Linked DNA regions of Drosophila melanogaster. The protein of the gene in region 1 interacts with the protein of each later gene in a pairwise test. Each region holds a gene or a part of one and is shown on either strand. Other genes may lie near its edges.

What was found. The genes of interacting proteins can lie anywhere in the genome.
Region 2: the proteins of Polr2B (region 1) and Sec24AB interact in a two-hybrid assay, tested with the Drosophila melanogaster proteins (one large-scale study listed by BioGRID).

The regions. Positions count from the first base shown.
Region 1 is NT_033777.3:14,124,061-14,127,815, forward strand, and holds the start of Polr2B (RNA polymerase II subunit B), read left to right. Parts: upstream 1-1,730; 5' UTR 1,731-1,886; coding exon 1,887-1,908; intron 1,909-2,035; coding exon 2,036-3,755. Other genes in the region: twf (twinfilin), read left to right, coding at 1-127; 140up (upstream of RpII140), read right to left, coding at 445-802, 865-953, 1,015-1,180, 1,244-1,416. UniProt on the Drosophila melanogaster protein: DNA-dependent RNA polymerase catalyzes the transcription of DNA into RNA using the four ribonucleoside triphosphates as substrates. Second largest component of RNA polymerase II which synthesizes mRNA precursors and many functional non-coding RNAs.
Region 2 is NT_033778.4:9,880,748-9,884,502, forward strand, and holds the start of Sec24AB (secretory 24AB), read right to left. Parts: upstream 1,611-3,755; 5' UTR 1,436-1,610; exon of another isoform or gene 649-1,435; intron 470-648; 5' UTR 446-469; coding exon 1-445. Other genes in the region: CG1513 (uncharacterized protein), read right to left, coding at 3,010-3,096, 3,150-3,255, 3,338-3,459.

The DNA of each region.
Region 1 (3,755 bases):
GACCGAAGCCTTCTTGCAGGACGAGCTGCACCCAAAGAAGATTCTACACCGACCGGCTTTTGCCAAGCCCAAGGGGCCACCAAACCGAGGCGCCAAGCGCCTCACGCGTCCCACCGCAGAGGACTAAGTCTGAATCCCGATCCCACCGAGTCAATTCTGTTTATCGCCCTTCTACGTACTGTTTCCTAGCAGAGCATTTAATTTATTGTATCCAATCGTTTATTTCTTTTGTGTTGTGTCTATCCCGTGTCTATATGTGTCCGTACGTCAGTCGATATCTTTAGAGGCACTAGGCATCAACTGAAACATCGCATAGCAGCCGCCAAAGTGGGCTTCCTTAAATGTATTCTTGTCTATGTAACTTTAGATGGACATATATGCAATTTATTTAAATTAAAAAAAGTAACTAAGTTCACACTGGCGTCTTCTTTAAGTCCTCAGGACTCACTTGATCGTGTCCAGCGATACATGTTCGGATGTTTTCTCGTCGTGGGCCTTGAAAAGCTCTGGGTTTTCGTCCTCTGTCAGTTTTTTGAACGCCTGTTGAATGTTTTCGTCGCGATCGAGTCGCCATTTGTACTGCCAGTAGCGAACCTCTTCCATCGAGGTCCCTGATGCTTTCATCAGCAGCAGCGACGTCACACCAGCCACGCCGCCCAAGAAACCTCCAATGATTCCACCTGCCGCCATGCCCCGCAGACCAAGACTCACTTTGTAAAGCGAGCCGGTGATGGAACCAGCGGCCAAGTATTCGTAGATTGAGGATTTTCCACGGTACACCGACATACAAGTGATGATGCCGCTGTAAGGAACACATTTTTGTATCACACAGATACAGATTTGAATTCGTGTTGCTGAACTTACAAGTAGGATGTGGTAAAAAGTCCCACTCGCCAGCCCCATTTGAAGCCGCCTTTGGCAAAGTTGACTGTGAATTGATCTTGCAGCTTTTTCTGTAATTATGATTAAAAACTTGATTATAACATATTTAAATGATAATACGTAGATACCTACCTTGGCATCAAAGTGCGATTTAAATGCTGTGGCCTGGTTGTTCTCCATGAAATTCATGTAGGCCACGCGCGATTGTGTAACTCCGCCGTAAATAGCTCCAATAAGGAATCCTAGGAAGCCGGCCTGGTAAACCGAGTTAAGCTCGGAGGATATGCTGCCAAACTCGCTATTTAAATGTTTATGTACGGTCAGTAGATTTTAGTATAAATGGAATTCTTAGTTTTCCTACTCGATTGTAAACATTTGCTTGAGGCGCTCCAGTCCTGTTTCCTCTGGTGGTTTACTGGCCAGAAAGGCCTTGTATGTTTTGTTTTCCTTATCGACTATTTCATCTGCGGCGCCTTCGAATGTTGGCAGGATGCCTGCGATCAGAAACCGGCGTCCTTTCCACAGAAAATTCATTTTTTAAGCGTGTTAAATAACCAAGTAAAACGAGTACAACAATCTCAGCTGTTTGCCGGTCTGTTAGTGTTGGAAAGTGTGCGTGTCATTGGTGTTGGCAAACTCTCGGTTTAATTGTTTTTAATTTAAATGCGTTTGTTATTAATAAAATTATATTATTATAATAATTTAAGTTACATACTCATTTAGTTGTTCATATATTTTTTTCTTATATCATTCACACTTTTAAATTTATTTTGTTGCCAAAAACAATTTTATTGTGTTTACAAGTATTTGCTATAACTTTATGAACTGCACCTTGTGCTTTGCTTTTGCCGTTTACCAACACAGCACAACGCCGCTAATCGCGTTGTCGGCAAACATTTGTTGTGAAATTTTCTACGTTTTTACAATTTAATTCATTGCAAATCCAATTTATTGTTATTTACTTGAACGCATAAAGTGCTTCTGCACTTTAGAAAACTGAAATCATGATGTACGACAACGAGGAAGGTGAGTAAAATGAATTGCGAAAATTTGTGCATGCACGTTGGCGTGTACCAAAATTAATATGGCGGCTGGAGCGCTAGGGCTCCGCATTGTTAGCAATGAATTTCAATGGTCAAATAACATCTTGCAGAACTGTACGAGGAGGAGAATGCCGAGGAGATCTCTCACGAGCTGTGGCAGGAAGCCTGCTGGATCGTGATTAACGCGTACTTCGACGAGAAGGGCTTGGTGCGGCAGCAGCTGGACAGTTTCGATGAGTTCATTCAGATGTCGGTGCAGCGCATTGTGGAGGATTCCCCCGCCATTGAGTTGCAGGCGGAAGCGCAGCACACATCCGGAGAGGTGGAAACCCCGCCCAGATTCTCGCTGAAATTCGAGCAAATCTATCTTTCCAAGCCAACACATTGGGAAAAGGATGGTTCGCCCAGTCCTATGATGCCGAACGAGGCCCGCCTGCGAAATCTAACTTACTCCGCTCCTCTCTACGTGGACATTACGAAAACCAAGAATGTCGAGGGCCTGGATCCCGTGGAAACGCAGCATCAAAAGACTTTCATAGGCAAGATTCCCATCATGTTGAGATCAACGTACTGTTTGCTATCACAGCTTACTGATCGTGATCTTACGGAGCTGAACGAGTGCCCGTTGGATCCCGGTGGCTACTTCATCATCAACGGCTCCGAGAAGGTGCTAATTGCCCAAGAGAAAATGGCCACCAACACAGTGTACGTGTTCAGCATGAAAGATGGCAAGTATGCCTTTAAGACTGAGATTCGGTCGTGTTTGGAGCACAGTTCCAGACCCACGTCTACACTGTGGGTAAACATGATGGCAAGAGGATCGCAAAACATAAAAAAGTCAGCCATTGGTCAGAGGATTATTGCCATCTTACCGTACATCAAACAGGAGATACCCATTATGATTGTGTTTCGAGCATTGGGCTTCGTGGCCGATCGCGATATTCTGGAGCATATCATCTATGACTTCGACGATCCCGAGATGATGGAAATGGTGAAACCTTCTCTGGACGAGGCTTTTGTAGTCCAAGAGCAGAATGTTGCCTTGAATTTCATTGGAGCTAGAGGAGCACGTCCCGGAGTCACAAAAGACAAGCGTATAAAGTACGCTAAGGAAATTTTGCAAAAGGAAATGCTGCCCCACGTTGGAGTATCCGATTTCTGCGAGACCAAGAAGGCATACTTTTTGGGCTACATGGTTCACCGGCTGCTCTTAGCCTCTTTGGGCAGGAGAGAACTCGATGATCGAGATCACTATGGAAACAAGCGACTTGATCTCGCTGGACCCCTCCTGGCCTTCCTCTTCCGTGGTCTGTTCAAAAACCTGATGAAAGAGGTGCGCATGTACACACAGAAGTTCATCGATCGCGGAAAGGACTTCAACCTTGAACTGGCCATCAAGACTAATATTATTACTGATGGTTTAAGGTATTCCTTGGCCACTGGCAATTGGGGCGACCAGAAGAAGGCGCATCAGGCGAGAGCCGGTGTCTCCCAGGTGTTGAATCGCTTGACCTTCGCCTCTACTCTTTCCCATTTGCGGCGTGTGAATTCGCCAATTGGCAGAGACGGTAAACTGGCCAAACCTCGTCAGTTGCACAATACTCTTTGGGGTATGTTGTGTCCCGCTGAAACTCCTGAGGGAGCAGCTGTTGGTCTGGTGAAGAACCTGGCGCTCATGGCTTACATTTCTGTGGGATCACAACCTTCTCCCATTCTGGAGTTCTTGGAGGAGTGGTCTATGGAAAACCTGGAGGAAATTGCTCCTTCTGCCATCGCTGATGCTACAAAGATCTTTGTGAACGGCTGCTGGGTGGGCATACATCGTGATCC
Region 2 (3,755 bases), on another chromosome or scaffold:
TTGGTCCTTGAGCATATTGAGGGGCAGCTCCTACTGGCCTTGGGGATGCAGTGCGCGAAGAGTTCGCACTGGACGCCCCATTGCTGCCGTTCGTAAGGGGTGGTCCGTTGGCGGCGGGCGGACGCAGATGGGGCGGCAGCGTGCTGGGCGGCAGTTGCTGCAGAGGTGTAGCTGCTCCTGACGTGGGCGGCAAGAACTGGTTCGTAATACCACTGTTGAACTGCTGCGGCGGTGGCACATTACCTGGCGCTCCTGCTCCCGGAAAAGCTGCTGCAGGAGGTGGTTGCTGGAACTGTTGTGGCTGCTTCTGTGGTATATACTGCTGACCAGGTGGAGGACCTGGCTGCTGCTGGACGCTTCCTTGCACACCATTCACAAAATTGTTTCCGTTCAGTGGCATAGGGGCGTGGGCGGGAGGCACGAAGTTCGGATTGTAAGTCGACATGCTGCTAATTCATAGGTTTGTGGTCTGAAAGATGAAGAATTACATTTTGTTTAGTTGCTATCTTATCACTAGCGAAGGTTGCGTTGCTGCCGACATGAAACAGGGAATTATCTTATCGTTCAATGTTAAAAAGCGCGTAACATGAAACAATGTGCGGCTGATAAAAGTTGTAAAGTTTTAAAGCGGGATGCTTTTCCCCGCTTACAGACAGTTTAGAATTTGCAGTGATCGAATGGAATGCGAAATTCTGCGTTATTGGAGCTTTATCACAAACTTTTAAGCTAGACTGGCTGCCTAGGTAAATGTCTTGATTCAGTGTTTACAGAACTGTGTCTACGTCAACAGTAAGTCGGAAATAGGGTGATAATTTCATATCATATTTTGCTGTTTAAACAGCTTCGACAGCAGGTCGTTATGGGTTATTATGTGATGTACAACGTGTAAGTGTGCGTGCCTCAAGCACTTGACCTCGCCATCAATGATCGCAGAAGGTGGGTCGGTTAAATTGGTGACCCAGATGCAGTGGAAGCAATCAGGAAGAGAAAGGATTTGTCTCCGGAACAAAGCAAATTTTTGATGACGTGCCTATTGGCGAAGTCAACCCGCCACGCCCACCACCCACTCAAAGAAATTGGGGCAATCAAGGCATATGTAGTGCCCATAACACGGTTACCAATCACTTATCACCTTCCCGAGCTTCAGTTTTCATTGGCATGAAGTTCCTCGGCCAGCACTTGCACTTTGTAGTTGCCTCTTCTTCTTGCGCCCTTGATTGGCGATTTTGCTGCGGACTATGAATTAGCTTTTCCGCCTTTCGTTGTGAGGAAAGGGCGGATGCAGCTGTAAAAACCACTGGTTGTACTCTTTGTTCTGGTCTTTTGTGAAATCCTTGGCTGGATTTTTCTCCGCGAACGAAAATTAAACGATTTTCGCACTTCCCTACGCTCTCTCCACTCCCAAAACTTCCTTCCGCACTAGTTTCTTTCTTACACGATTTCAAGCGCTCCTCGCGTGCTCCGGATGGATGCGAACACGTCCTATATTGGCAGGCGGATTCTTTGGACTTGGCGTCGTACGCTGCTATGCACAATTAACTTAAATGCAAACTTTTTGCATTTTCCGGAGAACAAAAAATTTTGAGGCCACGTCAATAGTGTGACCGTTGGTTTTAAAAAAGAGATGACAGTGCTCTGGGTCGCCTATCGATTGCAAATAAAATGTTATCGATACCAATGGTAACATTATTTTTGTAACAATTCAAATTTAAAACTTAACGCAATGTTTATTAAGTGAAGACAAGCAATGTATATTATATATAACTCTGTTAATGATATGAGCTTAAATGTTCGTAAGCCCGAAATCCAAAATCCATTAAAACTGCTTAAAGAACAAATCGCTTTATTTGCAATATTTGTATCTGCTTGGGAGTAGCTCAATTTCTCAATTAACACGTTGGTTAAAAAGAAAATCGCAAAAATATATACAAGTTTCCCCGGGCTTGGATATAAGTTCCAATTAATGCCATTGGGATTACAATTCTTTTATTCTACGGGGTAACTAGTTCGTTAAATATTACTTTAAATCAATTTCGAAGCGTATTTACTTTATTCGTTTCATTTTGCGTTAACTTTGCGTGAGAGTAGTCGGTAGATTTGCTGTGTGGGTGGTGTTGCTTCCTGGCTCGTAAGTTATAAAGTTATAAATTAAATTTAATGTCTATTATTCAACGTGTCTAGGAGTTCGGTTTTCAATTGGGTTCTATTGCAGTAAGGTGTAAAGGTGTGTCACCAGCGGACTCTTGGTAAAGCTTTATTGTTATTATTGTGACAAGTGGAATTCGAAACATAATACTAAAGGTAATCGTATTTGATTTATAAGCTATGCGACTGGAAAATCATTGTGCACCGTGTGTTCTATGTCCGTGTGTCTGTCCTGTGGTCTTGGAAAGAAGCGAGGGTGCAGTATCTGTCGGATACTAGCGTGTCGGTATTGTATTTCGTCTATAGCAGAGTCTTTTATTTCAAAAATAGAATCTCTATTATCCTTAAGTAACTATCATTTTGTAATCTACAACTTTTGATATATCCCATTATGTATTGGATTTCTTTCTTTGTTGCTAGTTAGTAAATGTTAGTAATGTAAAAGGTATTGAATAGGTGTCATTGTGTTGCAGTTTACTGCGATTGCCTTTGAAACACACTAGTACTTAGTAGTAAATAATAATCGTTAATTCTGTATAGAAACTGTGAGTGTTTGATTTTTCTGTCTCCGCTGAGCTGTCGAGCTTGACTCGCGTTCCAACCTAATGAGCAGAGCTTTACTCCTTTCTTTTTCTCTGTGTATATTATTTACAATTAATAACCAGACCCTGGAGCCTCCATCATGGATCTCCTTCTGCCAGTTCAGTTGTTGCTCTAACTTTTCCTGCATTCGTTACGTTGTATCGTCAGTGTTGAGAGGTTTGCGCACTTGTGGAATTAAACATATAGTTGAGGCTCGTTCTTGATATGATCCATATATATAGACGTTTTTGGTGTTGTTGCTCTCGTTGTCAGTCGGAGGCATTATCTCTTGGCCTCCTTCTCCTGCAGATACATGCGCTGACTCAGCGGCTTGGCGTAGATCCAGTTGTCGCCCACGGGCTTAAAGTGCTGTGAACGAATATTATCTGTTAACTGTTTTACCCTATATCGGGATGACGTACCTTGTGCTCCCAGGCCAGATCGTATTCCTTGCGCACCTTGGCTTGATCACGCTGCTGTTGCTCCACAACGAATTTGGCAGTTGTAGCGCGCTCGATGTCATTGAACCTGTGGAAGAGCAACGAACAAAGAGATTACATTTATCATGACTCGCAATTGGGGGTCAGGAATTAATTGGTATGCTGTTTACTTGAGTCCCGCTGTCACTTCCTTCCAAACGCGTCGCGATTCGTACTCATCCTGCTCAACGATTGGTCGAACTTGTTTCTTAAATATGGGTATGCGATTTACGTCGACGAATACTTCGGTTTTCTAGAAAATTCAAGAGATTCATTCAGATTCACTATGTGGTCAACTGATTGGGATTGGGTGTAATATTAAACACACAGCAATCATATATAAGTACAGATAGCAACAATTTGAATACAACGTTGGACAATCAGGCATAGGATTAATTTGTGGGTTCGATTTTCTAGACAAACAAAGTAAACACACAGAGGAAATGCTCCCGAGCTATTTAAGAGAAAAGCAGAAGAATCGTGGATAGTAAGTAGAGGTCTAGTTGGGGTGTGAAGGGTGGATGTGGCTGCCAACTCGTGGGGTTGTTT